7 linked regions of the Ovis aries genome follow. Each later gene encodes a partner of the first gene's protein in a complex. Links are inferred from orthologs where the notes say so. Each region holds a gene or a part of one and is shown in the gene's direction. Other genes may lie near its edges.

Region 1 (3,512 bases):
TGCGGTTCTGCTGGCCTGAGGACGACGTGTCAGACACATGTGAGCTCAGGGCCCTGCCCTCGGCAGCCCCCATTAGTGGGCAGGGGTGGAGAGTTGTGGCTCTGTCTCATCAAGCCCAGTGACAGATGTAGACAGTGCAGACAGGACGTTCTGGGCACAGGTGGACCAGGCAGGCCCTAAGGAGTAGGAGTAGGTCAGAGGGGTGGGGGAGGGAGGAGGCACAGCGGGCAGCAGAGAGGTGTTGGGGCAGGACCCGCTGGCTGCTCTCAGTGGGTGGGACCCTGGGGGCTGCCATGGGCTTCCTGGAGGAAGGGTATCCAGGCAGCAGGGGGACATTTGGGGAAAGGCAAGACCCTGTGAGGGCGCAGCTGAGCCGGGATTGGTGTCTGTAACCCTCACACCCTCTGGCCCTTGAAGACAGGCAGGGCAGGGCTCTCAGGAACTTGGCCCTGGAGGCAGCCGCGGCTTTGACCTCTGGGCACTCCAGCTCGCCCCGCACTGGAGGCTCAGAAAGTTCCAGTGCTTTCCCTTGATTCAGCACAGCTGTGAAAACATCTGTTTCAGGCACAAAAAGACCATCCCCATGTTTGTCCCAGAATCTACATCTAAACTGCAAAAGTTTACCAGGTGAGTAGACGCCTATCCCCGTCCCCAGGGCGCCCGTCCTGGCGTCGGTGATCGAAAGGAGGGCTGTCACATTCCCCCACCCCTCCTCGTCATGCTGGACACCTTTGCGTGAGGGGCCTCTGCCAGGAGGTGACATCTGAGCAGGGCCTAGAGCCAAGGGTGGGCCATCGTGGCAGAGCCCAGAGAAGGTCGCAGGCATAGGGAGTAGGTGGTGGACTTGGCAGTGCAGCCAGCGGGGGCCAGACACCGGGTCTGGGCGAGACCAGCCGAGGCCTCTGGCCCCTTCCCTCATCCGAGCAGGAGCTAGAGGGTGGCTGGGCCTGGCTGGTTGTCGGGGGTAGGGATGGAAAACAGTCAGCTCAGCTGCCGGGTGGGCGGGCAGGATGAGGGGAACGTGGCTGGAGCCTTGCTGGCTCGAGGAAGCTTCCTGAGCTCTGAGGCCTGGGGAGCATGGCTGGGTGCTTGCTACCCCTGGGAGCTCCTCTGGAAGCCACTATGACGGGGCCAGTGTCGGCTGGAGGTGACATCACCACCCACCGGGCAGCTGTGGGATGTCAAGGGCCTTGTGGGTCCACATTGCTTGGGGGAGAACTGTGGGCCCCCGTGTGCTGTCTCCTGGAGGAAGGGGCTTCTGGCTGGGGAAGACCAGCTCCTGACCAGGTGGTATCAGGGGTGTCTCCTGCTTTTCTTGGCGGGGGGCAGGGGGTGCTCTGGCCCCAGCTGGACTGTGTGAGCTTGGATGATGGAACCCAGGGCAGCAGCTTGATCGATAGACCTCCGCAGCCTAGGGCCCCGGGAGGCCACTGAAAAGCTGGCCAAGCAGCCCCTCCACGCACCCCCTCTCTGATGCTCTGCTCCCAAGCACCCTTCCTCAGCCTGCTGCCTACCCACTCCCCTGTGACTGCTTCCTGTGGCCACTGTGACCAGTTACCAGACGTGGTGGCTTAAAACCAAAGACATTAAGTTCTCTCAACAGGACCTGGTATCTCTGGGGCCATCACTCAGCCCCTCCAGTTTCCCCAAGATGCCACCACATGGGCGACTCAGGCATGTCTCTGCCCCGAGGAGCCGGTGGTGCTCCTGCAGCAGCGTCTGTGCCTGGCACGTGCCAGCCCCAGGGGCTGCTTCCCCAGCTCGGTCCTCAGCGCAGCCTGGGAGGCAGGTACAGGTGGAGCCCTGCTCCTCTGATGGAGAAACTGAGGCGCAGTCATTGAGGCGCCTCCCTACCTGCCATGGCCCACATCCCTCAGTGCCACCTCCCTGCTGTTGGGAGCGAGGTGGGAGGACACTGCCCAGGCCGGGGGCACAGACATCTTGGCCAGAGCCCTGTCAGGCAGGGCCCGTGATCACATCTCCAGGACGCTGAGAACACTCGGGCCCAGAGTCGGGAAGTAACTAGTCTCGGGTCCCGCTCTACTCGAAAGACAGCGGAGAGCCCGGATCTTGTCCCTCTGCCCACCCCCAAGGATGGCTGCCGCACTCTGGGGTGGGGCCCCCTGGGTTCAGGCCGTGCACCCTCCCAGCCCTAGCCCTCCCTCTGCTTTTGCCCACAATGACCGTACCCAAGGACAGCGTCCAGCTGAGGAGGGTGGCGTGGGGAGGCTCTGCCCCAGGAAAGGGCTGGAGGGAGAGCCCATGCCATGTCTGCAGGACCCCAAGCTCCCTGCTCACCCGCTCCCCTGTCTTCCCAGCTGGCTCATGGGACGGCGGCCCGAGTACACAGACCCCAAAGTGGTGGCTCAGGGAGAAGGCCGGGAAGGTAAAGGTTCACCCCTCACCCTGGGCAGGGTGGGCCTGGAAGGGACCAGGTGGGCCCCCAGGAGTCAGATGGGTGGAGGAGGGCCCAGCTCAGAGGGGTTGCCACTTCCATCGCCCCGTCCCCAGAGCAGCCCCTTCTCCCAGGGAGGAATGTGGGCTGGGCAGTGTTGACCCCACTTTCCAGGAGGGAACACTGAGGCTGCCAATTCCCAAAGCAGCCTGGATCTGTCTCTGACCCAGCTTGGCTGACTCTATCCTTCTGTCCCCAGTGACCCGTGTCCGCTCCCAGGGCTTCGTCACTCTCCTCTTCAACGTGGTGACCAAGGACATGAGGAAGCTGGGCTATGACACCGGGCCTCCTGACACGCAGGGCGTCTCGGGGCCCAGCCCACCCCAGGGCCTCCCCCGGTGAAGCCAACAGCCCTCTGCCCAGCAATCGTATAATAAAGTGTAACTTTTTCACAGAGGCTGGGCTGGGGCTGCTCCGACTTTCGCAGCACATCGCCTGGGAGCAGAGCCCGGGCCTCACCTCAGAGGGCACCGCCCATGGACGCTGCACAGGACGGCCACCAGCACACGAGCTTGGATTCAACACTGATCCCATGCCTCACGGCTCGACATGCTCGGCCCTAAAACCTGCCTGCTCAGTGCCTGGCACGTGTCAAACTGACCATGCTCCATGGCTTCAGTTCCATGGATGCCTGCCACCCTTGGACAGGGGATGTGGGCTGAGAGCCTCCCCAGGTGGGTGGTGTTGCAGGGGGAGAACCCACTTGCCCTCAGCCAATGCTGGGCCACCTGACCGCCCGCCAGCAGCTTCAGGGGAGCCCTCTGAGCAGGTCACAGGGCTTGCCCAGTGTTCTCTCCTTGGCAGGATTTGAGGGAGCCCCCAGCCTGATGTTCCCCCAGTTCCTCCGTAAACCAGAAGTTTATGCTACTCAGGGCCACTGCCCCTGCCCCAACTCATTGTGCTCCCTGGAACAAGCAGCAGGACACTGGCCGCCTCTGCATGAGGAGTCCTCTCCTGCTCTGGCCTCTGCTCCGCAGGTACATCCCCTGTGGCCCCATCCCAGCTTCCAGAACACCCCTGGCCGTCAGCCCAGCCTGCGGCCACCAGACTCCAGCCG
Region 2 (3,673 bases), on another chromosome or scaffold:
TTTTCCCTCTTCCCAGTAGTCTTGAACATACTTGGTCATTAAACATGATGATTTGGATTCTGAATAAGAAAATTGGGGAAAATGACAAACCCATCTCCTATGCAAGGCAGATGTTTTCTGAGTCATCATGCTGCCTAAGCATTTACAGTTACCAGAACTGAGTGATAATGCCTAAAGATTTCAGTGTTCTTCCAGGCCCTTCATAATTAAGCCCCACCCAGCCTATCCCACTGTATTTTGTGCTTTTTCCTAACACAGACATCCATTCCAGGCTGATGTGTTGTTTCCCAGTCATATTCTTTCCACATTTTTGCTTATTTAAGTTCTTGCCTTTTCCTCATTCTGCTGCTGCTACTGCTGCTAAGTCACTTCAGTCGTGTCCAGCTCTGTGCAGCCCCATAGGTGGCAGCCCACCAGGCTCCCCTGTCCCTGGGATTCTCCAGGCAAGAACACTAGAGTGGGTTGCCATTTCCTTCTCCAATGCATGAAAGTGAAGTCGCTCAGTCATGTCCGACCCTCAGTGACCCCATGGACTTCAGCCTTCCAGGCTCCTCTGTCCGTGGAGTTTTCCAGGCAAGAGAACTGGAGTGGGGTGCCATTGCCTTCTCCGCTTCCTCATTCTATCTAACTTTAAAAGCCTACCTCCTTGAATTATTTCTTTTACCTACCCTGTTTACTCTGTTAGAGCATTTAGTCTATTACTCTAAGTGGTACGTACGTTTCATTATTCACTTAAGTGTAGTAATGTAGGACTGTCACATAAGGTAGTTTCCTCTTTCAGTCTAGACTGTAAGTTCCCTGAGGATAAGGACCACACTATACTTATTTTGAATTACAGAGCTCAAAATGTAGGTTCACAGTAGTATCACTTGCTTCAGCACAAGCAGAAGATGGTACTTCACTGGTCTGATGTTTGTCGTGTGTATCATTGCAGGTTCCTGAGTTGGCTGGCTTCTGGCTTCTGAGCCTTCTGTTGCAGTTGCCTTTAATTCTTTTCTTGCTCTTCAATGAGGGCCTAACAAATCTGCCCTTGGAGAAAGCAGTACATATCATCTTCACTATATTCCTTACTTTCCAAGTTGTTTCAGCATTTCTTACCTTGAGGAAAATGGTAAATCAGCTGGCAACTCGTTTCCACCTCCAAGACTTTGACCGGCTGTCTGCGAGCCGAGGAGACATGAGAAGAGTGAGGTCCTGTATAGAAGAGATTTGACCCAGTGCTGTTGAATAAGCATCTGGAGGATCATTCTAGAAGACTGCAGGAAAACACCAGAGGGCTAACACAATAAAAGGGACAAAGCAAGTGTTTTGAACTGTATCCTCCCTGGCTCTGAAATTCCAAGGCTGGACACAATGATAAGACTGTACAGCACGTGAAAGCAGTAAATCAACCCTAAAGCCTGCATGTTGTCTACCTGATGTCAAATATCTTAAATTTTTTGTTGTTGTCAATGTTTTCAGGTGTGTAGAGATCTATATTGGTGGCGTTACATCTTTACTGTAATATCTCCAGTTAGTACCTGTAACTAGAAATGTGTATATTTCTTTCACTATTGTTGGCCTATCCATGTCTTGGCAGTACGTATGAAGTATGTGGAGATGCTGGTCAGTATTCTGATGTATTAGACTACATTTGTAAACAGACACCAAATTTTCATGTCTGCTAGGGTCTTAGCTATTATACTGAGGTTAAGAAGAAAGCAGGTAGATTGTGATGATATTTAGGAAATGTTTTTATCCTAAAATTGTTATTTTCATACAGCCATGTTCAGTATTTATGGTGGTGGTGTGCAAAATGTCTTCACAATAAGTTATAAAATATTTATGTTGAGCTATCTTTAGAAATCATTCTTGTCTTTTACAGTTCTTTTGGGCTGTGGGTTTATTTTTATTATAAAGTTAAAAGAGAAAAGTACATGTATTTGAGAGCCTTCTATGTAATTTGCCACTGTCCTGGGTACATTAACCCTTATGATCTTATCTATTAAGTCATTATTCACTGAAGAACTGCTCATACCCAGTAAATTCACATGAAGATTGATCTGATAATCAGGGTGCCTGTTAATATATAGAGTTTGGATGGCCCAAAGGACTCATGATCATAAATGAGCATATTCCCTTGCTAATAGGAGAAACCTATTTAAGGAAATTCTGTTAAGAACAAAGCTTGCTTGGGTATATCTGAACCATTAATTTTAAGTGATAATTGGGTTGTCTTAAGAGATACAATATTTTCTTTCCTAAAGTATTGTATTTTATTGAGAGATAGTTGTAGCTACATTAAAAATCATTTTTTCTATCCTTCCTGTTTTGTGATTCATGCTTATCTTAGGATTTCCACATTATGCCTTATTCATTTTTATGTTGCTTAATTTTGAAAATGTTTTCACTTCCCACTGTTAATCACACCTTACTATTCTGTTTATGCTCTTTTTATTATTTCTGCTTTTTATTATTATATATAATGTTCAGTCAAAGTTTTCTTCCCCTGTACACTAACTAATTAACCTTTGCCCTATACCAAAGCTGTCACTAGGTATATTCCAATACTTTGAAATTCAAAATAGAATTCTGTTTGAATAGTTTAATAAAATGTATTTGTTCACATTTTTTTCCAGATAGATGAGTTTATAAGAAAATATAAAATAAGAACACTAAATCTACATAACAGATAAATTAAGGTGATGATCAAGAAAGACTTTTCTATTTAACAATCATTTCCAGAGTTTTATTTTAAATAGCAGAGCCTCTTGATACATTTAAACTTTAAGGTAAATCACTAAAAGTATAAAGAATAACAATAAAAAAAGTTTAATGGTTAAATGGGGGAATATATGTTTATAAAAATTTTAAAAGTTTTTGTTCTAATAATTATTGCTTAAAATGTAGATATAATGAGGGTAAGAAAAAAGAAACTAAGAAAATCAATTGAGAACATGATCAAGTCATTGGTTTTTCATAAAACAATAGAACCATGATTTTGTGTTAGTCTGAACCAACATTTTCTATTTGGTGTATATACATGGTGCTCTATGTATGCATAGGAAAATTGAGATAGGAAAGACATTTCCATGTCAGCACATTTGGAGTTTAGGCAATCTGTATTTTTATTTTATAAATTTATTCATCCTTACTTACTATTGCATTTCCTCTCCAAGGTTCACAACACTGTTCTGAAGTTTTTCAGTTAGGAGATATTGAGCTTCACAAATACTTTGTCTTTCACATATTTTTTTCTTTCGGGTGTTTTTTTCTAACTACAAAGTAGATGTACATTTTTGTACATATTTTTTTCTTTCGGGTGTTTTTTTCTAACTACAAAGTAGATGTACATTTTTGTACATATTTTTTTCTTTCGGGTGTTTTTTTCTAACTACAAAGTAGATGTACATTTTTGTACATTGGAATGACTTTTAAAAATTGGATTTTAATCAACATATGTTTGAATGCCTACTATGTACAAGGAATAGTGGAGAGTTCACAAATAACTGAGCTCCCTGTTCTCAGGGGTACAGTGTTGCAGGTAAAGTCTCACTTCGTCAGGGAGGTGCATGGAATGAGTTTCTGCCTAATACGTACCTGACAGCAAACAGCCCTTGGCATGCAGGGCATCTCCGCTCTTTGTTCCCAGCACTTAGTGTCCAGGGTTAGCACACTGGCCTTTCATCAACAT
Region 3 (3,315 bases), on another chromosome or scaffold:
AATTATGATATTGGTTCAATGAATTGTTCATAGCCATTAAAAAAGGTAGTTAGGTGTGGAAAGAGTTACGATAGAGTAAAAGGTAGTTAATGTGGAAAGACGTCTAACCATGTTAAATGGTTAAATAAGTTGCCAAACGGTATGCAGAGTATGATTCTACTTTTACAATAATGAAAATAATAACACGTGACTATACACATAAAAAATGTCTGAAACAGTATGCCTCATTCTGTAATAATGGCTTTCTCTAGAGGGTGAATCATGAGGTCTTTTAATTTCTGTATTTTCTAAAATGATTTTCTATATATTTTTCTTTTTTTTGGCCATTCCATGGGGCACCTGGGTTCTTAGTTCCCTAACCAGGGATTGGACCCATGCTCCCTGCAGTGGAAGCACAGAGTCAACCACTGGACTGCCAGGGAAGTCCATATTTTCTATATTAATTGACAAAGTGTTCAATGATTATATATTATTTTTATAATTAAAAAGATCTTTCCTCAAATAAAGATCCCATTGTTTCTTCACTGGGAGCAGGACCTTTCTGTGAATGACTCTAATCTCACAGCCGCTCCAAAGCCTCTTGTTTTTAACACAGTGGGACCCTGTTAATAAAGTTGCACATCCCCATTCAGGACCATTTGCCTCTGCTTGCCAGTCCATCCCATCCCACCTGCCTTTTCCTCTGAGGCCAAGGAAAGCAGGCCTCTTGGAGGTGACTCCATGGGCTGTGTCTGACAGGTACAAAGGGAAACCTCTGCCAGCGAAAGATGCCACTTGGTATTAGCGTGGCCTTGACCTTCCCGTCCACCATGATGGCGTCCTATTACCTGCTGCTGCAGACCTACGTGCTCCGCCTGGAAGCCATCATGAACGGCATCTTGCTCTTCTTCTGCGGCTCAGAGCTCCTGCTCGAGGTGCTCACCCTGACCGCTTTCTCCAGGTACTGCTACTGAGGGGCCATTTCCCGTCACCTGAGGGTTGGGTTCCCATCCCAGGGAGGGATTCATTGTTCTTCTAAAGCTTGAAGGGTCTGGACTCTAGAGGATGTTTAAGGGTGAGAAAGGTGTTTTTCCCACTGAGGGTAGAAAGGTGTCTTTCCTGAAGTTACACACTTAGGGAAGATATTCTTGCTTTCTGGGGCCAAGAGGCTTGGATTATAGAACATTTCAGGCCAGCTGCTCTTGTTCACTGGCCTTTTAACATTTTCTTTCTTTCTTTCTGCCATCAGTATGGACAGGATGTGAAGTACAAAAACTTCAGCCAGCAGCCTTCACAGGCTGAGACTGTACATATCTCTGGTACTTCAGCCACACCAGTGAGAAATGGCAGGCCAAGTTGTCCTGAGAAAGGTCGCAGCTTTTCCTCGGCACAGACACCTGGGGAACGAACCCAGCGTAAGACCGCTGGGCACCATCTTCTCAACCAGGACCATCAGCCAGGAGACTCTTCTACACTCCAGTATAGGGAGGGGCAAGGCTGGTGCCTTCCTGGCCTTTCTCGGAACCAGCTCCCTTCTGACCTCAGGTTTTCCTCTTTGATCTTCATGGCCAGAGTATCTTGTGTGGACCTTGCAGGCTCCCTGGGCTTCCAGAAGCACCTGAGCCACACGCTCGCCATGTGTGCTGTGCCCTACATGTCCTGCAGGAGCACAGGGCACCTCAGGAGGGTGTGCTTCCAGAGTGATGCAAAAGCCGCTCATCCCATTTCTCAGAAACTGAGCTCCAGAAATTTTTAAGTAGCTCATAGTGCTATTTTTCTACTCTCATCATGAAACAAACATTATTTTATAATAAATAAGTATTTTCTGTTGTGGGGGGTTGTAGCCTTTTCCTTGTGGCACTTGTCCCTAGAATTTCATCCACTTCAAGAGAAAGTAGAGACTATCCCCAAGGTTTGCCCTTGGCTGTGCTTAGTGACCCTGTGCGGACACAGAGGCAGCAATGAAAGTGTCCTGCTGAATTTTTTCCCCTGCAGCTCTAGTCTCAATTAATCCCTAAAGGCCCTGCCAGCTGCTGTGTCTTCTTCAGACTTGTCATCCTGACCACTCACATTCTTCACCTCTGCCCCAAAGCCAGCAGATTTTAAAATTTTATTTATTTTTGGTTGTGCTGGGTCTTCCTTTCTGCACTCGGGCTTTCTCTAGTTTCGGTGAGCAAGGGCTGCTCTTCGTTACGTTGCACAGGCGTCTCGCTGCAGTGGCTTCTCTTGTTGCGGAGCACAGGCTCTAGACACACAGGCTTCAGAAACATATTCTAAACTTACCAATGTTTTTTGGTCATTTGTTTTAAAATTTCAAGTGAACATAAAAGGAACATATACTTTTATTTTTTAAGCTGGAGAAATGTTGCCCTAAATGAGTGTATCTTCTCTTCTCCAAGTAACCATCTTTAAAACTTTCTCATCTTACATGATAGTGGCCATTTTTTTAGCTCCAAGAAGCCATAAGAGAAGCCACTTTAGGAAACCTTGAGCCATATGGCCCCTTTGCTATCAGGTGAATCCTAGACTATCTGCTCTTACTCAGAGTAAAAAGTAACTGGCCTTTAAGAATGTTATGCTGGTTTTTAACTGCTTATTTCCTGTGATCAGGTTCATTCTCAATCTACAAAGGTCTCCACTGTCCAAGCTTTCTCTTGTTTCCTTACCCTCTGTGTCCTTGCCCAAGGGCTGCCTTTGGGGGTCTATCCAAAGACTGTATTTAGATAGGTCTAATTCAGCATGAAACAGTAACAAAAACTCCAATAGGAACGTCCCTGACATTTCAATAGCATATCCCATATACAATTTTCTGCTGTTTCTCACACTGCCTTTTTGCCGCCTAGCCCTGCTTTGAAGAAATCGCTGTTATCAAACTGGAGAACTCATTGTCCTTGACCTCCCTATTTCATTTAGAGTTTCATTGGTTATGGTTAAAGAATCTGCCTGCAATGCAGGAGGCCTGAGTTCAATTCCTAGGTCAGGAAGACCCCCCACCCCCCACCCCCAGAGAAGGAAATGGCAACCCAATCCAGTATTCTTGCCTAGAGAACTCCATGGACAGAGGATCTTGGCAGGCTACAGTCCATGGGGTTGCCAAGAGTAGGATACAACTTAGCAACTAAACCACCACCACCCTCGCAGCAATGCAGAAAAATGAATGAGAGGTTCAGTTCTAAGGGGCAGCTTATAACTCACAGGGGCTTTAAAAAGCAATTCAATCTCACCCCCGACTTGGCAGGTTTAGAGATGAGGAAGTAACATAGCCAAGCATCAGCTGGTTTCTAACTTGTTAGAAACTTTTGTCTTACTTGTCTCAGTCTGGATCAACCCCAGTCC
Region 4 (4,226 bases), on another chromosome or scaffold:
AGTGCCAGATGCTCTATGAGGTGCTGGGGGGTGTGATAATGGGCAAAGGGAGACATGGTCTCTGCCCTCAGAGCTCCAGAGAGTTTGCCACAGAGAAGAAGAGAAGAATATCTGTTGAAATAATGCTCATTTCATTCCCCAAAACATTTGGGATTAATTTGTGGAGTGGTTAATTATTGAGCAAGTTGTTGGAACTGACAGATGAGGCTAAAATTTAATTTTGGCCTAGGTTGTAAAGGAACTTATGGATCAGGAATTTACATTTTAATGAGGCATCACTGTACATTTTTAAGAAAGAGAGTGACACAGTCCAATTTACATTTTAGAAAGCCAATTCTGATGGTAGTATGTAGGGTACGTTGGGGAGAAGGATTCCAAACGTGAAAATTAGAAAGCGGTTCTAAAGTTCTTAGTTGGTGAAAGATGAGAAGGGTTGAATAAGATAGAAGTTATTGGAAATGGATCAAAAGGTATCTAGGAAGTGGCTGCAGTCAGTCCTTCTGACTGATCCATGGATACATGAAATAAGAGCTTCTCAAGCTTGAGAAACTGGGTTGATAATAATGTTATTAATAATAATATGTTATTAAAGTAGTATAAATGGAATGAGTCTATAACAGCTGTGATTCTCTTTTTAAATTGCAGACAGTTACGAAATTCTTGGTGTACTATGCTGGTGATCTGGCCAATGTTTTCTTTATCATCACTGTAGGAACAGGTCTTTACTGGCTTATTTTCTTTAAAGTAAGTGATTTTCTGAATTTAACCTTAGTGCCACAACCTGAATAACTTGTAAGCTCTCTTTATAAAGCAACTGTTTTTACTTAAGGGTGTTTCTAATCAAGAGTACTGGGGCAAGTGCTAAACTCACTGTTCCTGAGTGTGTTGTATTTCTTTTATGCTTTCTTTGGGTTATAAATTGTGCCTAGTAAAAACCTTGTGTGGTCATACTTAGCAGTGTAATTTTCATCACAGGCACAGAAGTCTGTCTCTGTTTTGCTACCAGTGCCAGCTCAAGAAGAACGCTTTGTTACTTATGTGGGATGTGGTTTTGCTCTGAAGGTAAGTTTCAAAGCACAGGTTACTGAATTTTAAAAGTCTGCTTAAAAAAAAAAGTCTGCTAGTAAGCACGTAAGTCTTCAGAGTTAAAATGCTTTCAAAATCTTTGGTATAAAATTAGTTGAATTTTAGAAGAAGGTATGAATTGTTCTTTTTTACTAGGAAGTCTGCATTTATTTATAATAGGTATCTCATTCTGAAGATCTGCCTTAAATAATTTTTTATTATTTAATGTAGACTGTTAATCAAGAGTGAACGGTACCACTCTGGATAAAGTGCTGAACTCTTAGCATTGGTTCTCTCTGCCTCCACATTCCTTTCCTCCTCTTCCCATGGGAGCCCCCCCTCCTTGCTTCACTGTTCTTTCAGTGGATGTGATGCTCTTCACATGTCTCTGCTGTACATCTCATCCAGTTATGTTGTGATTATTAAGTGACTGCTGTTCCCACTGATCTGTGAGCCCCAGGAAGAGAGGAATCATCCCATACTTAAATTTTTTACCTTTGTTTGATCAATAATGCACCTTCTCGGAAGAAGCCTCGGTTTAAACATATTCTGTAAATGAAAAGGATTTTTTTTTTCATCAGAAATCTTAATAGTAGAAATAGAGAAAAAGGCAGTAAGAACATCCTAAAACTTTCATTAGGACAAACCAATTACAGTTGGAGATACCTTTCCTTATAAAGAAGTTAAAGGCTTTTGGAACCCTTGGGAAAGAGAGTCCTTTAGGCAAGATCCCTGTGTGAGGAGGGAGGCAGCATGTCTACCTTCATATTCCTATTTCTAAGAAAGACAGAAGGAGGAAAGGTGAAATTAATATGTGTGTAGAAAGTCTGTGAATTTGGTGACTGTTATATGATGAGTTTCTGGTGAGCCCCTGATGGTATGACAACTTTGTCACTTGTGAAACTTACAGTGAAAATATTAGTCGCTCTGACTCTTTGCGACCCCATGGACTATAGCCCCCCAGGCTCCTCTGTCCAGGGATTCTCTGCAAGAATACTGGAGTGGGTTACCATTCCCTTCTCCAGGGGATCTTCCTGACCCAGGGGTTGACCCTGAGTCTCCCCCATTGCAGGTAGATTGTTTACTATTTGAGCCACCAGGGAAGCCCCATATATCTTCTTGTGATTTCAGATGTTTGTTTCTTAAAGAATTAGCGTTGGTTTCATAAGCAGACTTAATGCCAGTACTTTAAGGTGTTGCGTTTGTCATTCTCAGGCTCTGCAATTTTTGCATAAGCTCATCTCCCAGATTACCATAGACATATTCTTTATCGATTGGGAGCGGCCTAAAGGGAAGGTTCTTAAAGCTGTTGAAGGTAATGAAAGTAACCATTTGTACCAAGTTTCTTTCGCCACCACTGTAAAGCAAAGAAGGTGAAACGGTTTACTCATTTTACCTCCCCAACCAGGTGAGGGTGGTGTCCGGAGTGCTACTGTTCCTGTAAGCATATGGAGAACTTATTTTGTGGCAAATGAATGGAACGAAATTCAGACTGTGAGAAAAATTAACCCACTCTTTCAAGTACTTACTGTCCTCTTCCTTTTGGAGGTAAAAACTATTTGATAGAATTGTATGCAATTTATGGGTACCTCATAAATGTTAATGTAATTCCAGCTAAGTTTTCCTGTCAGTGAGAGTTTTCTGAAGTTTAAAATATTATTATCGAGCCTTTAAAAAATACGCATAACATGAAATTTATCATTTTCAGTGTACAGTTCAGTAACTGTTAAGTATACTCGTATTGTCGTATAGTCCATCTCTAGAACCCTTCATCTTGCAAAACTAAAACTCTGTGCTCGTCTTTTTCCCTCTTCTCAGACCTGGAACCACCATTCTACTTTCTGTCCCTGAACACCTACTAAGGACCATGTCCTGTGTTAGGATTTGGGGCTACAGCCTAACCACACACACTGAATGGGTACATGCTCATGGCCCCTTTACAGTTATTTGATGGACCTGGGTAGGATTATCAAAGGAAGTATTCAGAACTGAATATGAGACTGAAATATGGAAACTGCATAAGTAACAGATTTTCTCTAGAACTAGCTGCTTAAGTAAGGTTTGATGTAAATTTTGTTGGACTCCTTTGTTTGTCTGCATTCCTTTTTCCTTCTTTCTTACTTTTCTCCTTCCTTCCCTTTTTTGAACCTAGAAGAACATGTGTGTCTCTGAGACATAAGAACACCATCTCAAAAACTTACTTATAGTCCTGTTTTTTAAAGCTTAAAAGGGATTGTGTGAAAAAGTCATTTTATAATCAAGTAAGTTTGGAAAATACTGGATTCCATAAAGTCATGTAACTTCCTTTACCATAAAACTTTCCAGAGCCTTTAATCTATGAGAGTAGAAAGCATAGAGGTGAGTATAACATGATACCTTCCTCAAAAAGCATTTTGGAAAATAGTGTTTTAAAGTATAAAAAGTATTTTGCGTAGTGCCTGTCATGGATTGCTGGTTGTTCATTGGTAGTTTACTGAAAGTGAAAGTGAAAGCTGCTCAGTTTTGTGCGACTCTTTGCGACCCTATGGACTATAGTTTATGGAATTCCCTAGGCCAGAATCCTGGAGTGGGTAGCCTTTCCCTTCTCCAGGGGATCTTCCCAACCCAGGGATCGAACCCAGGTCTGCCACACTGCAGGCGGATTCTTTACCAGCTGAGCCACAGCTTTATTTTTTTGAGAGAAATTTTTAAGCTTTGTCAATGTATATGATAATAAGGTTATATTTGTCCTTGAGTCGAAGGGGATGACAGAGACTGAGATGGTTGGATGGCATCACCAACTCGATGGACATGAGTTTGAGCAAGCTCTAGGAGTTGGTGATGAACAGGGAGGCCTGGTGTGCTGCAGTCCACGGGGTCTCAAAGAGTTGGGCATGACTGAGCAACTGAGCTGAACTGGCCTTGAGTCATATCGAAGAGACTACCTAATAGACTAGCTAAAATTTTGTATTAAATACTTTGTAATTAAAATACTTGATAATTATTTTTATCTAGATTTTCTACTGTTTGTACAAACTTGAATACTTTAGTTTTTCAAGGGAAGGAGTAGAGAGAGGTGTCTAATTTTCAGACTACAGGGGTTTTCTTTTTCCATATATTTTAAAATTATTTTGTTCTTTTTACTTAAGGTTGTGGGATTCAAGAACTTAGCATTAATGGAC
Region 5 (4,226 bases), on another chromosome or scaffold:
ATTCTACTCTACTTTTCTTTAGTCTTTGTTTTGCCAATAAAGAACAGTAGGTATGGCTAATTTGAAATCACTCTTCTTTTAGTCATTACTTATCACTTTTGGGCACACTCATCAGTTGCTAGCATGAAAGGAAACCAAAAGAGCATTTGACTGTAGCTTTATGAGCAATGTGTTTCCCTCCCTTCAATGATCAAGAATTGTTTTCATCCTTGTTTATTTTTATATTTTATTTTGAAGCATATGTTCTAAACTCTGGATCAATTTTTAGTTTACTTCTTTTCGTGGGTGGTTAAAGGGCTTGAAGGTAAACTAGGAGTTGTTTCTTAGTTTAATCTAGGTCTTAAATTTGGTTAATAGATGGTCAGATCTCTCTTTATTAAATTATACAGAAAATAGTATAAACTGAATATATTTAGATGTCAACTAAAATGAAAATCATATTACTATAAATACATTTAAAATAATTTTTTAAATTGTGCATTTTTAAATCAACCAAAGAAACTTAAATTGTCTTCTATATTGTAAATTTGTCATTTATGTGAATTGCCACTGAGCTATTTGATTTTTGAGTATTTGCTTAATTCCGTTGAGGAATATATACTATTTTCTGTTTTGTTTTGAGAAGCTGCACATTTTACAATGGAGATCCATTGACTCAGACCACTAAAATTCCAGCTTTTATACTTTGTTGACTTCTATGGGTTACTCTTCTGATGCTCTAATGAGTCAATGAATCAAAATAAAAGAAATGATTCAGTACATTTTCTTTATAGATCTATCACCACCCACATTCCTATTTCTAAAACTATAAGATCTAAATAAAGTATTGTAACTAAATTTCATTTTCATCATTAACAATGAAGTTTCTAACATATATAATAATCTTATAAATAAAATATGCATGTAGATAACTGCTATCACATAGAAATACAGTTTAACCTTATTAAGACTCTTGAGAGTCCCTTGGACTGCAAGGAGTCCATCCAGTCCATCCTAAAGGAGATCAGACCTGGTGTTCTTTGGAAGAACTGATGTTGAAGCTGAAACTCCAACACTTTGGCCACCTGATGCGAACAGCTGACTCATTTGATGCTGGGAAAGATTGAAGGCAGGAGGAGAAGGGGATGACAGAGGATAAGATAGTTGGATGGCATCACCGACTCAATGGACATGAGTTTGAGTAAATTCTGAGAGTTGGACAGGGAGATCTGGTGTGCTGCAGTCCATTGGGTCGCAGAGTCAGACATGACTGAGTGACTGAACTGAACTGAAAGTAGCATTTGGCTATTAGTGTGCTTCTCTTGTAGCTCAGTTGGTAAAGAATCTACCTGCAGTGCAGGAGACCCGGGTTCGATTCCAGCATTGGGAAGATCCCCTGGAGAAGGAGATGGCAACCCACTCCAATATTCCTGCCTGGAGAATCTCATGGACAGAGGAGCCCGGCAGGCTACAGTCCATGGGGTAGCAAAAATTGGACGCGAGTTAGTGACTAAACCACCACCACCAGTCTGACTAAAATTCAGATGAAGCATTTAAAAGAAAAAAAAAGTATTTTTTTTAATGATTTATCATTACAGAAACTAAGAGAAAAAGAATCTGCTTTACGGTTAGCAGAGGAGAATATTCTGTCAAGAGACAAAGTGATCAATGAACTGAGGCTTCGATTGCCTGCCACTGCAGAACAAGAAAAGCTTATAGCTGAGTTCAGCAGAAAAGAGGTGGAACCAAAATCTCATCACACGTTGAAACTTGCTCACCAGACCATTGCAAATATGCAAGCAAGGTTAAATCAAAAGGAAGAAGTGTTGAAGAAGTATCAACATCTGCTAGAAAAAGCCAGAGAGGTATTTGGTTATGTTATGCTGTCTTATTTATTATGGTGTTTTTTAGACAAATGCCAAGTACTATTCTGCCCTTAAGTGGTGTTTCATTTCTTGTTTTCAAATGATTCAATTCAGGTATTGTTACTTTCACGTGATTGGATTACAGATGTGTCAGTAAAACTGGCAGTTTGTGTTATTGACTGAGTAAACCAGTAATGGCGTTCATGGTGAAACTGATTTCAAGTTAATAGGTAAAGATTGAGGCAGTAAGTTAGAATGAAATCCATCACACTGGTATCAGTGAAAATCAAATTTGCCAGAACTTTAAGGGGTAAAAAAAATCTAAAATTTAAAAATTGCTAGAAACAAGTTAAAAGATAATAAATCCATAGTATTCTAATATTAAGAATAAGTTATACTCTAAGGCTAGGCTTGTCAGTTTGAACATGTGCTAGGGAAATGTATGCACATGTTGTTCCTTCCCTCTCATAAGGATTTTAGTATATTAAAGATAAAATATTTAAGACTTTTAGAATGTAAATTTATATGAGTCACAATGTAAGCTATAGTTTTCATTTGTTATAAAACAGGAACAAAGAGAAATTGTTAAGAAACATGAAGAAGAACTTCATATTCTTCATCGTAAATTAGAACTGCAGGCTGATAATTCACTCAGTAAATTCAAAGAAACAGCTTGGGTAAGATTACAGTTTGGGTAAGAGTCTAGGAACTTTGTTCTATTCTTTATTGATTTTTCAGACCATACAGTTGAAAATTTAGCTCTGTTTTCAGGGAGAGGGGATTGGAAGCCATCCTACTTTTTTTTTTTTTTTTTTTTGCCAGAATAATCTGAAAACACGGCCCTGATCATTTTTTTCCCTAGGCCTAGATTTGTTATAGCTTACTGCTGCCTAGAAAATCATGTTTATATTTCTTCCTCTGACCTCTGTCTGTCTTTTCAAATCTATACATTATTAATTTACCTGTATCTAACTGCTTTCTATGTTCTGATAATTCTTGCCTCTTGGTCATTGTATTCTGTATGTGCAAAATGACCTTTCTTCTCCTAACATGCAAACCTTACCTTCCTCAAACTTTAACTCATTAATTCAATCAATATTTATTTATTGATCCTTCCCTACATGTAGGTACTTTGCCAGATGCTGGGAATACAAAGAATAAGATCCCTATTTCCTGTCTTCTCTAAGCCTTCATTGCCTTCATTACATTTTAGATTTGAAATTGTTTTGATCATTTAAGGAACCAAGTTAAAATTATGAGATAAGTATGGCATTGCATTGTACCTGCTCATGGCTAATATAATGATATTTCATAGGATTTAATAAAACAGTCTCCCACTCCAGTTCCTACCAACAAGCATTTTATTCGTTTGGCTGAAATGGAACAGACAGTAGCAGAACAAGATGACTCTCTCTCCTCACTTGTGATCAAACTAAAACAAGTATCTCAAGATTTAGAGAGACAAAAAGAAATCACTGAATTAAAAATCAAAGAATTTGAAAATATGAAATTACGGTAAGTCTTAGAAATATATTGTAAATATAGGAAAATGGGAATAATGATATAATAAATATAAATGTAAGCATTTGTTATATCATGCACTGGTCTAAAAATATTGCCTATATTGTCTCATTTTATCCTCAGTACTACTGATGATATGGGATAGTCACTCCATTTTGCAGATAGGAAGCTAAGCTACAGAACGTGTTAGTAACATGCCTAGGAGAAGATGAGAAAGCCATGATTTGAATCTAGTCAGTCTGACTCAAAAGATTCTTGTGTAGAATCTCATCTTTAACCTTTGAAATTTTCCTTTTTATTATCTGTAAAGGAAAATGACAGTCCTTACTCTGGCTCTTTCAAGGTGGTTATATGAAGGCCAAATGATGCTATATATGGAAGTAGTTTGAAAATTGTAAAGTAACATAAATACAAAACTTTTATTTATATACCTGTAATAGTTTGTGGCCCCACTCCAGTATTTTTGCCTAGAGAATCCCGTGGACAGAGGAACCTGGTGGGCTGCTCTCCATAGAGTCGGACAGAGTCGGACACGACTGAAGCGACTTAGCAGCAGCAGCAGCAGCAGCAACAACAGTTTTTGGCATACATTTAAGGCTCAAATATTTGTTGAATGAAATATTAATCTTTTTTATTAACCACATCAACAGTGGAGGGCTCAAAGCATTCTCTATATTAGAAATTCTAAACATTGTTCAATCATTTATCAGAGTATAAATTTTGAAACTAAAATAGGTACAGGAGTTCCCTGGTGATCCAGTGGTAAAGAGTCCAGCTGCCATTGCAGGGGACCAGGATTCAGTTCCTGGTCCGGGAATACTGCACATGCAGCAAGGCAGCAGCGCCCATGCTCCCCACCTG
Region 6 (4,656 bases), about 6.2 Mb from region 1:
AACATTACACAACTTGAATTTATCCTAACTAAAATAGCCTGTTTGTGGTCTATCAAACACACGCTGTACATCTGCTTTAATTATTTAAAGGAAAGGGCACGCTGACCAGAAGTAAAAAATGCCCATGTTAAAAATAAAGATTAAACGCCCCTCTTCCTGGGACACCTTCGATGTGATTATGAGAGATATTTTCCAAGTGCCAAGGCCATGCTGACCTGCTGTGTATTAATCATCTGGTCCTTAAAAAAGAAAAAAAAAAAAAAAGAAGAAGAAGAAATGTAACCCTGACTTGTATAAAGTTCTTTGTTCTTACAAGATGCAAAACTGCACTGAAAAAGATGCTTCGCTGGGGCAGTTTCTCAGAGTAATCGGGGAAAGGAGCTTCCAGGCTACTCCTTAGTTTGGCTCAAATAAAACTCTTTTCTATTCTTATTATGGATTATCCATTATTATTCTTGGGAGATGATCTGGTAAGAGGGTGGGGGGGGGAGCCTGGAAGTTGTGACTTGACTGTTAGCCGTGAACTCCGGCGAGAACTTTCCGTTCTACAGGAATCACCTTTAAGGTCCGAAGGTCCGTGAGGTCCCAATCGTGAGAAATGCTTGGACTATAGCTGGGCAAAGAGACTCTGCTGGTCACACCTCCAAGAGATAAGGAAATCGTAGACTCTGAATTTCCGCCTTCGACTCTTGCCTCCCAGGGACGCGGGGTTTCATTCTCTTCCTCCACTCCCTTTTCTGGTCCCGTACGTCCACTTCCTTCCCGCAACACGCCTCTCATCCACACCCTAGTTCAGGAGAGGGGCTCTTTTCTGTACTCTGCAAATCCCTCACCAATCTGAGCGAGCTGGGTGGGTGGTTGGGTGGGGAATCAGAATCAAGGAAAGTTCAGGTATACGGTCCGCCAACAACCAGGGGCTCCAGGACAATAAAGGGGCATCCACCTCTCCAAGTTCGGCCTAGGTCAAGGAGAAGCTACACGGATGCGGGGGATGGAAGAAAAGACAGTGTCCAGGGCTCGGGCATGTTGACGCCCTAAGGCTGGAGTGGTGGTGACTGTGGTGTCTGGAGGATCATCTTGGGCAAAGTAGCAGGGGCTGGGGGCCAGGCCGCTCCCGGCATGGGGATACAGGGAGGAGCGAGTGTCCGAATTTCCGTTCGCCAGTGCTGTGTGGGCAGACTCGGCAATGGGGGGCCGCGCCACAACACACTCTCAGGCTGTGCAGACAACTCATCTGCACGCGGGAAGGCCGGCAGCTCGATTCTCCGCATCCGGTCGGGATCTGCACAGGTATTGTGGACCCGGAACAAAGTTTCCCAGAGGCCCGGAGGCGGCGCGATAATTTGCCGCTCTCGCGAGACTTTCAGAGGTCCCGTCGGAGCCATCGTTTTTGCGGTTACTAAGGCAACTGAGCGGTGCCAGCGTAAGCGGGAAAGCGGCGTACGTCGAATTTTTGTCTGCTAGCTTGGGAGACTTGAGGAGTGACCCTCCTTGAGCTTCCAGCCCCAGAGACAAACGGCCTCTGCTCCAGGCGGTACCTCTTCCCCTGGGAACCATGGGCCGGATCTCAGGGCTCGTGCCCTCTCGCTTTCTGACGCTCCTGGCGCATCTGGTGGTCGTCATCACCTTATTCTGGTCCAGGGTAAGACCCAGGGCCCTCTTCTCGTTCCTCCTTCCAATTTGGGGTGGTCCCAGCCCCACTCCACCCTTTCTCTCCCGGGGCCTTACACGGTGGGGTCTTCCCATATCCAGCCGCCAGACCCTCTTTCAACTTCTGTTTCTTTCTGCCCTGCTCCCTAGGACAGCAACATCCAGGCCTGCCTGCCTCTCAGATTCACCCCTGAAGAGTATGAGAAGCAGGACATTCAGTGAGCATGTGGGACAGGGTGGGCAGAATTAGGCAGTAGAGGGAGTGAAGGGGTCTTAGAAAAAGTTCAGAAGGCCTAAGCCACTTCCTTCTTTTCTGCAGGCTGGTGGCAGCGCTCTCTGTCACCCTAGCTCTCTTTGCAGTGGAGCTGGCTGGTTTCTTCTTAGGAGTTTCCATGTTCAACAGCACCCAGAGCCTCATCTGTATCCTTTCTACGTGTACTCCTTTCCTCCTCGCCCTTGTCCACCATAACGCCCTTCAGCCACTTAACTAGGCCTTTCTGGCACAATGGCGTTTGCTCTAGCAGGCAAACAGAATCCCTCCTGTGGAGAGATGTTAGGCAATGTGGAAGATTTAATACAATCTCTGATCACTTTTTGAGCTCCTGCTACTCACCAGGCACTGGAGATCTCAAGATGAGAGTACAACAGTTTTCTATCTTGAGGAAGAGGCAGATACACAGACATCTGCAATTCAGTGTGATAAGCACGGGTGCCATCAGATGTTAAGATACAAAGCACTATGGGAATGCCGAAGAGACAAAGGAAGTGAGGAAGATGGATCAGGGAAGGCTCTCAACACCAGGGTACTGGAGAGTGATCCCAGCAGTGTATTGTGTCACTGTGAGCATGTCTGTGTGCTTGGAGTAGATCAGGAGTCTACTACTTCACCTGAAGGATCCAAACTAGATATGGGATGGAGGTAGCTTGGTTTCCCAACAGGGCAGGCTCAGCTCTGGCCTCTACACATGGCCATCCTAAAACCCAAAAATCTGGGCTGCTGGCTCTGGCCTTTGCAGTGTGGTAAAGGGAGCAAGAGATGCCTTGCTCACCAGGAGCTGATTGTGAATGCAGATGCCAGGCCCATCACCGGCCTTTTCTGGCTCATCACTACCTGTTGACCCAAAGGCTTTCCTTGACTCTGGTGTATTCCCAAGCCATCGGGGCTCACTGTAGTGCATCTGTGGCCCTATCCTTCTTCATATTTGAGCGTTGGGAGTGCACCATGTATTGGTACATTTTTGTCTTTTGCAGGTATGGTAGCACCTAATGTTTGAGGATGGGGAAGGGAGGTTTACTTTAAATCTGAAGATTCCCCTACCCAGCCCTTTGTTCCATGTGTAACATACCAGATCCACTCAACATTCCCGAGTCTTTTTGAAGTCCTCCACTCCTACACTTCAGGGGGTCGGGGGGTGGGATCGCTGGCTTGGGGATCTGGGTATTTTTATTAGAAGAAACTCTGAACCCATCACCTGCCTTCCTCAGTGCCCTCCCGGCTGTCACCGAAATAACATTATTCATCAGCGTCTTTGGCCTGAAAAAGAAACCTTTCTGATATCTTCGTGACTGGAAGTAGGGATGAAGGCTGAAGGAGCGAAGGACTACTCACCCTTCCTGGAAGAGGGAGGCTTCAGCCCTCCTTCTAACACTGCGTTTGGTGAACGATGTCAGTGTTAGGGTAATTATCTCTCAAGTCTGGGATTATCTGTGTTTTGTTTACAGTCCTTTGTAATAAAATATATTTTAGGGTAAGATCAAACTTACAGGAATTCCTGCAGGAATTCCCTGGCTGTCCAGTGGTTAGGACCCCACGCCTCCACTGCAGCGGGTTCAGTCCCTGGTGGAGCAACCAAGATCCTGAATGCTAGGCAGCGTGGCCAAAAAAAAGAAAAAGAAAAAAATCAAGACAAAAATTTCAGGAGAAAATTGGGGTGGCCAAACTACTATAGAAACGGAAGGCTGTTTTCCAGCCTTGCACTGTAAGACCCTAAATGTCGCTTCTATTCTAGTTATTACGGTAGATTTCTGACGGAAGGGAGTGGGCGGAGATATGTAAATAAGGTTATACTTTAGTACCTCGAGCTCTTAAAGTGAGTGAAGCATTCTGGGAGGGATTAGCGTTTGCTTTTTGACAGCCAAATGGAAAAATTTATTTTAAAACATCTGCAAATAAATTGAACAACAGAAGTGGAAGAACCTGGATAGCTTTAGATGGCTCGAACTAACATGTCGTTTACTCACCCTACCTGTTAGCGGAGTCTTATTACCGGAGTACGGAATATTGCAGTCCTCTCGGTATCGTCAGGTAGGATAATCCTTACCTGTTCCTCCTTTTGGAGGGCAGAATAGAACATGATGATTGGAGCTCGCATGATTCGTGATTAACGGCTCTGCGTAATCAGGACTTGCAACACCCTGATTGCTCCTATCTGATTCTTCCTGGCGATCCGTGATGTTAATGTACTTTACGATTAGATTGAGTTTTTAGTACTGTCTCCTTAGTTGTACTTGAAGTAGCGTCGGGCACGACTGAGCGACTTCGCTTTCATTTTTCACCATGCGTTGGAGAAGACAATAGCAACCCACACCAGTGCTCTTGTCTGGAGAATTCTAGGGACCGGGGTGCCTGTTGGGTTGCCGTGTATGGGGCCGCACAGAGTCGGGCACGACTGAAGCGATTTAGCAGCAGGAGCAGCAGCAGTGTTGGTCCTAATAGTGTCTGTAAAGTTTGGGGTGTGTTTTTTTTTTTTTTTCCTCTGAGGGTGTTTGGTTTGGGTATGTTTGTGTAGAGTACGGTTTGTAAATTTGTTTTTTAAACTCTTGTGATAGTTTCGTGGTTGATGGTTTGTAAGTTTGTTTGTTTTTTAAACTCTTGTGATACTTAGTTTCGTGGTTGATTTGTCAAAGTCACTTAATCCTGTCTGAATGGAATTCTTCAGGCCTGAGTCTTGGAGTGGATAACCGTTTCCTTTTTTTTCAGGGGTTCTTTCCCAACGCCAGGGACCC
Region 7 (4,226 bases), on another chromosome or scaffold:
GAGCCTCTTTTTCCTCATAGCTGTATTACTGCCCTCAGGGCTTGTTGAGAGTTAAAATCGGGTAATATTAATGGTGCCTAGTGGTCTCTCTATAAATGGGGACCACTACCAGTCACCATCCTGTCCCTTGTTGGTGTTATGCAAGGTTTCTCTAGGTATCATGATATGATAGGTGAAGTGGACTGTTTCAGCAAGACTTCCTCCCATCTGCAGAGCTGTCCTATCCATTGTTCCCTGGTCTATAAAAGCACTCCACCCATGAGAGCTTTCAATTCTAAAGTTCCCAGAAGAGTTTAATGGAAATTGACATCCTACAAATAGGTTCCAGATCACATGTGGTTCTCCTGCCCACCTTTTTCTTTTGTCTCAGCAGTCAGAGTGTGGGCTGGCCCCGTCAGCGGAGGCGTGCTCTCCATCTTTATCCTTTAATTGCCCGGCTTTTTCATGTCACCGTTTCTTCAGGCCTCTCATTATCTGCTTAGCACATTTATAGCATGGGGACAGTGGGGTGAGGACTAGCTCACTAGCTCCGATCCCACCATCCCCACTGAGTCCCCAGCAGAGAGCCGTGTTTACTCAGTCCCTGCGGTTCAGCTAAGTCTTGGCTCAGCTCTGCTGCCTCAGTGAACCAGGCAGTTTGCTCCCAGCTTCTTGCAGATGGGTTAAGATGTCCAGTTGTTACTTCTCCCTTAGAAGGGAAGACACAAGTTGTGGCGGGAGAGGCAGCAGCATGGACGCAAGCACTGTCGGGGTCTGTGCCAGTCGGGAGCTTAGAGGGCCCGGGGCAGGTTTCATCCCAGCCTTCTAGGCAGAGCCGACACGAGGGCATCTGCTGGGCTCAGGTGACACCAGCTGCGTGTTGCATCTTCTAAACAGGATATTCTCAAGGATTTTTGAGCCTGCAAATTTCTTAAGAGACAGTGCTAAGCCAAGGCATTCCACCCTTGCCTTTTCAGCCGGCACCAAATTTAGCAGGTATGCTAGCTTTGCATGCCCCAAAGAAATGTATTTTAAAAAACTTTTCACTGTGGAAAAATTTCACACATACATAGACAAAAAGTAGAATACTCCAGTGGAATTCCATCTCCTTATCAGGCAGCTTTAACACATTTGCCAACTGAAGAAACTGTAAAGACAGGAAAGAGGTCTGGAAGGCCCCCTTCATATGTTCCCCGTAGGGCTGAGCAAACAAAGATCCTGGGGCTGAGGTCTCAGGCCCAGCTCCCAGTGTCCAGGCCTGCATGGGGCAGCTCCATTGTGGCACCAGTGCCCTCGACTGAGAGTGAGAGTTAACTTCTTTGAAAACTTAAGACAGCGCCTGTATACCCCGATGTAACATCTTAATTGCCAACCAGTGAAATCAGATAAATGAAAAGAAAGGACTTGAATTTCCTCTAAGTACATTTTAACATGATATGCAGTCAGGTTTAATTTCTGACTTAATAATACTATATTCCCTTTCCTCCTCCCCCCATGCCAACTCCTTTCCTAAAGAATCTCTGAGGTAGATGTAAATGGGTGGGTGCAGTTAGACCTGTCGGCCCTGGAGGGTCCATAATTGGGGGTACAACTCCCAGGTAATGCTGGTCTCTTTAGAAACAGGAAGGGCTGGAAGAATTATGCTTTAGGTGTTAAAATTTTTTTGGAGCATTGAGTACTTTTAAAATACATGCTGCTTCTAAGCTGTTTTTATCTGAACTTCCAGAGTCTATTCATTCTCTTGTTCAGAACATTTTGTAATATGGGAAACATTTTATAATTAAAACTCTGAACTGCAGATTAAGTTTGACTTAAGGTTGTATAATACTCAAATTGATTAATGGCATATTATTGTACAGGAATCCTGCCAGCTCCCAGTGGCTTTGATGGTAGAAGTGAAGTGGACTAAATACGGATCCTTACTGAACCCACAGGCCAAAATAGTCAATGTAACTGCAAATCTAATTTCATCTTCCTTTCCTGAGGTAGGCCTAATGTTAAAGATACAAGACTCAAGGCCAGACAAAACTCAGCTGTGATAGGTGAAATTTATTATTTTGTAAAAAATAATTAAAATTTAAACAATCTGGATTCTTAGAACAATCTAGCAGTCATCGTTTACTTAGAGGAAAAGCCTCCACTGAACAAAATGGTTTTGTTCACATTTGCATTCTTGTTTAGATTTGATCTTTAAAATTCTTGTCAGAATTGAGTTGTGCATGACATCAGTGTGTGAGGGACAACCTGAGTGAAAACTGTCTCTCTCCTCTGAGTTAGTGACTGATGAGCCCTCCATGTACCTATCAGATTCATGAACTGACAGCTATTGGGTGAGGAAGGGCATGGAAGCTTGTCCCATCTTTGTTATCCTGATAGCACACTGGAGGGCAGGGCTTGCATTATTCTGATTTTGTATTACAGACCAACTCAGGAAATGAAAGGACGATTCTTATTTCCACTGCGGTTACTTTTGTGGATGTGTCTGCCCCTGCAGAGGCAGGCTTCAGAGCTCGGCCAACCATCAACGCCAGGCTGCCCTTTAATTTCTTCTTCCCATTTGTTTGATGTAAGTCGTTAAATAAGGAAACTACACCATATCTGCAGAATTCAGCACGTGTGGGGCCCACGGCCCCTCGGAGACATCCCACTTTATTATAACCCTTGAGATTGCCCCCAGACCAGCACACTTCCTTTCCACTCGCTTCCCTCCTCTCGTCTCCCTTCGGGAATGTCCTTCTAGTTGGTCTGACATTAGAAGGAGGCATGATCTGGTCTTAGCCAGTTCCAGTACTCTCAACACATAGGTCATATGTGGAAACCAAGTTGCACCTTTGAGAAGACACGAGGACAGACCTTCAAGTAGTGCAGGCGTTGAGGGTTTATCCAGTTTGTTCATCCCCTGCTTTAAATGTGAGTTATTTTTAAAATATTATTTTTCATTCAGGTTTTCTTCCTTTTCAGGTCCTGCTGAAATGTGTACAAAAATAGCAAATTGTTTAAAATCATGCGAGTAGAGGACAAGGCCTCACAAGAGGATCTTCCCCCAAATGTCATGTTAATTACAGTGGCGTCTTGGGTCTAATTGCCACTTCTGTACCAGGCACCGGAGCTAGCTTGCTCTCCAGTTAGTGGGCTGGTCTGGGATGCCACCAAGTGATTCCCAGCAGATGAAGCTGGAAGGATCTAGTAGGAGGGCCCGAGGGAAGGAGAGAGTTTATTTTATACATTAGTTGTACAGTAACTGAGGAAAATGTTGTCAGGTGGCAGAACTAGGTGGAGCCAGCTAAAAGCTGGAGGATGCAGAGGAGGGGGCTGGGTACTCGAGAATGGCCTCCTTGGGGGAAATTGTGGTTAGCTATTTAGAACAGCTTGGACATGTAAAAGACTTCTAGAAAGTGCTGATAGCTAAGATAGCTTTCTTTTTTGTTTTTCAGAGTGCTCATATGAAAGGATGTACTGATCCCTCAATATACATGTGAAAAGTGAAAACTGTACGTTTGATGAGATTAAATTTTATATACAGCTAGTAATTGTCCAGCTTGTTCATTTTCAAGCAAGAGTAAAGTGTTCCAACATGAGAAAAAATATAGTTTATGATACATTTGTTACACAGTGTGGGGTGGGACATTCTCAGTCACACCAAGGAAGAAATAGAGCCTGTAAAAGGCTGTGTCCCCCAGGATCCGAGCCAGCAGCAGTGAGGCAAAGCCATCAAACCAGAGCTCTCCCCGACATGGCCCCAGAGGGGCGGCTGTCTTCCTTGTCACAAGCCCATGAGGCAGGTCTTCCCTTTGAGCTGGAGAAGGTGTGCGTCTAGTTCACCTCCCCGAGAAGTCCGTGCTGTCTCAACAGCTTGTTAAGTCTCTCAATTTCTTGTTCCTGTTATTACAAAAGCAGACAAATAACCGAATTTACCTTCTGAGCCTCCCCAGGCACATACTGGGCCACAGAGCTGAATGAAAACCACACTCCTCATGGAAATCACTTAGTCGGGGCCCAATAGTGACAGCAGAGAGGAGAGACACTAGAGGAGGGGGGTTCCTGGCGAACCTGCAGGGGTGGAGGCAGTGCCTGACCTGAGTCTGAAAGGACAAGGAAGCCTGACGCAGGGAAGGCGGGGCCCTGGGCTAACGGCCCCACGAGAGCAGAGGCCTGGCTGGGAGAGAACAATCTGTAAACAGGGTGTTTTCCCAAGCGCCTTCTTACCTTCTCAGAGCAGCTGAATTCAAGATGCTGTATCTTGGTGG

The links.
Region 2: B9D1 (region 1) and TMEM17 share a complex: the UniProt entries of both Homo sapiens proteins name them as parts of the tectonic-like complex. The link is inferred for Ovis aries from reciprocal best matches to the Homo sapiens genes B9D1 and TMEM17.
Region 3: B9D1 (region 1) and TMEM216 share a complex: the UniProt entries of both Homo sapiens proteins name them as parts of the tectonic-like complex. The link is inferred for Ovis aries from reciprocal best matches to the Homo sapiens genes B9D1 and TMEM216.
Region 4: B9D1 (region 1) and TMEM67 share a complex: the UniProt entries of both Homo sapiens proteins name them as parts of the tectonic-like complex. The link is inferred for Ovis aries from reciprocal best matches to the Homo sapiens genes B9D1 and TMEM67.
Region 5: B9D1 (region 1) and CEP290 share a complex: the UniProt entries of both Homo sapiens proteins name them as parts of the tectonic-like complex. The link is inferred for Ovis aries from reciprocal best matches to the Homo sapiens genes B9D1 and CEP290.
Region 6: B9D1 (region 1) and TMEM107 share a complex: the UniProt entries of both Homo sapiens proteins name them as parts of the tectonic-like complex. The link is inferred for Ovis aries from reciprocal best matches to the Homo sapiens genes B9D1 and TMEM107.
Region 7: B9D1 (region 1) and TCTN1 share a complex: the UniProt entries of both Homo sapiens proteins name them as parts of the tectonic-like complex. The link is inferred for Ovis aries from reciprocal best matches to the Homo sapiens genes B9D1 and TCTN1.

What each region holds. Positions count from the first base shown.
Region 1 is NC_056064.1:33,866,714-33,870,225, forward strand, and holds the end of B9D1 (B9 domain-containing protein 1), read left to right. Parts: intron 1-564; coding exon 565-627; intron 628-2,318; coding exon 2,319-2,386; intron 2,387-2,654; coding exon 2,655-2,797; 3' UTR 2,798-2,852; downstream 2,853-3,512. UniProt on the Homo sapiens protein: Component of the tectonic-like complex, a complex localized at the transition zone of primary cilia and acting as a barrier that prevents diffusion of transmembrane proteins between the cilia and plasma membranes.
Region 2 is NC_056056.1:45,739,037-45,742,709, forward strand, and holds the end of TMEM17 (transmembrane protein 17), read left to right. Parts: intron 1-934; coding exon 935-1,213; 3' UTR 1,214-2,607; downstream 2,608-3,673. UniProt on the Homo sapiens protein: Transmembrane component of the tectonic-like complex, a complex localized at the transition zone of primary cilia and acting as a barrier that prevents diffusion of transmembrane proteins between the cilia and plasma membranes.
Region 3 is NC_056074.1:36,448,782-36,452,096, forward strand, and holds part of TMEM216 (transmembrane protein 216), read left to right. Parts: intron 1-738; coding exon 739-940; intron 941-1,228; coding exon 1,229-1,244; 3' UTR 1,245-3,315. UniProt on the Homo sapiens protein: Part of the tectonic-like complex which is required for tissue-specific ciliogenesis and may regulate ciliary membrane composition.
Region 4 is NC_056062.1:83,393,971-83,398,196, reverse strand, and holds part of TMEM67 (meckelin), read left to right. Parts: intron 1-645; coding exon 646-744; intron 745-975; coding exon 976-1,062; intron 1,063-2,280; coding exon 2,281-2,380; intron 2,381-2,473; coding exon 2,474-2,613; intron 2,614-4,193; coding exon 4,194-4,226. UniProt on the Homo sapiens protein: Required for ciliary structure and function. Part of the tectonic-like complex which is required for tissue-specific ciliogenesis and may regulate ciliary membrane composition.
Region 5 is NC_056056.1:124,377,426-124,381,651, reverse strand, and holds part of CEP290 (centrosomal protein of 290 kDa), read left to right. Parts: intron 1-1,577; coding exon 1,578-1,844; intron 1,845-2,413; coding exon 2,414-2,521; intron 2,522-3,159; coding exon 3,160-3,359; intron 3,360-4,226. UniProt on the Homo sapiens protein: Involved in early and late steps in cilia formation. Its association with CCP110 is required for inhibition of primary cilia formation by CCP110.
Region 6 is NC_056064.1:27,636,842-27,641,497, reverse strand, and holds the start of TMEM107 (transmembrane protein 107), read left to right. Parts: upstream 1-1,398; 5' UTR 1,399-1,555; coding exon 1,556-1,642; intron 1,643-1,800; coding exon 1,801-1,868; intron 1,869-1,969; coding exon 1,970-2,070; intron 2,071-2,804; coding exon 2,805-2,901; intron 2,902-3,135; coding exon 3,136-3,205; 3' UTR 3,206-4,656. UniProt on the Homo sapiens protein: Plays a role in cilia formation and embryonic patterning. Requires for normal Sonic hedgehog (Shh) signaling in the neural tube and acts in combination with GLI2 and GLI3 to pattern ventral and intermediate neuronal cell types.
Region 7 is NC_056070.1:54,534,372-54,538,597, forward strand, and holds the end of TCTN1 (tectonic-1), read left to right. Parts: intron 1-1,838; coding exon 1,839-1,964; intron 1,965-2,008; exon of another isoform or gene 2,009-2,400; coding exon 2,401-2,544; 3' UTR 2,545-2,545; exon of another isoform or gene 2,546-3,413; 3' UTR 3,414-3,505; downstream 3,506-4,226. Other genes in the region: HVCN1 (voltage-gated hydrogen channel 1), read right to left, coding at 3,961-4,226. UniProt on the Homo sapiens protein: Component of the tectonic-like complex, a complex localized at the transition zone of primary cilia and acting as a barrier that prevents diffusion of transmembrane proteins between the cilia and plasma membranes.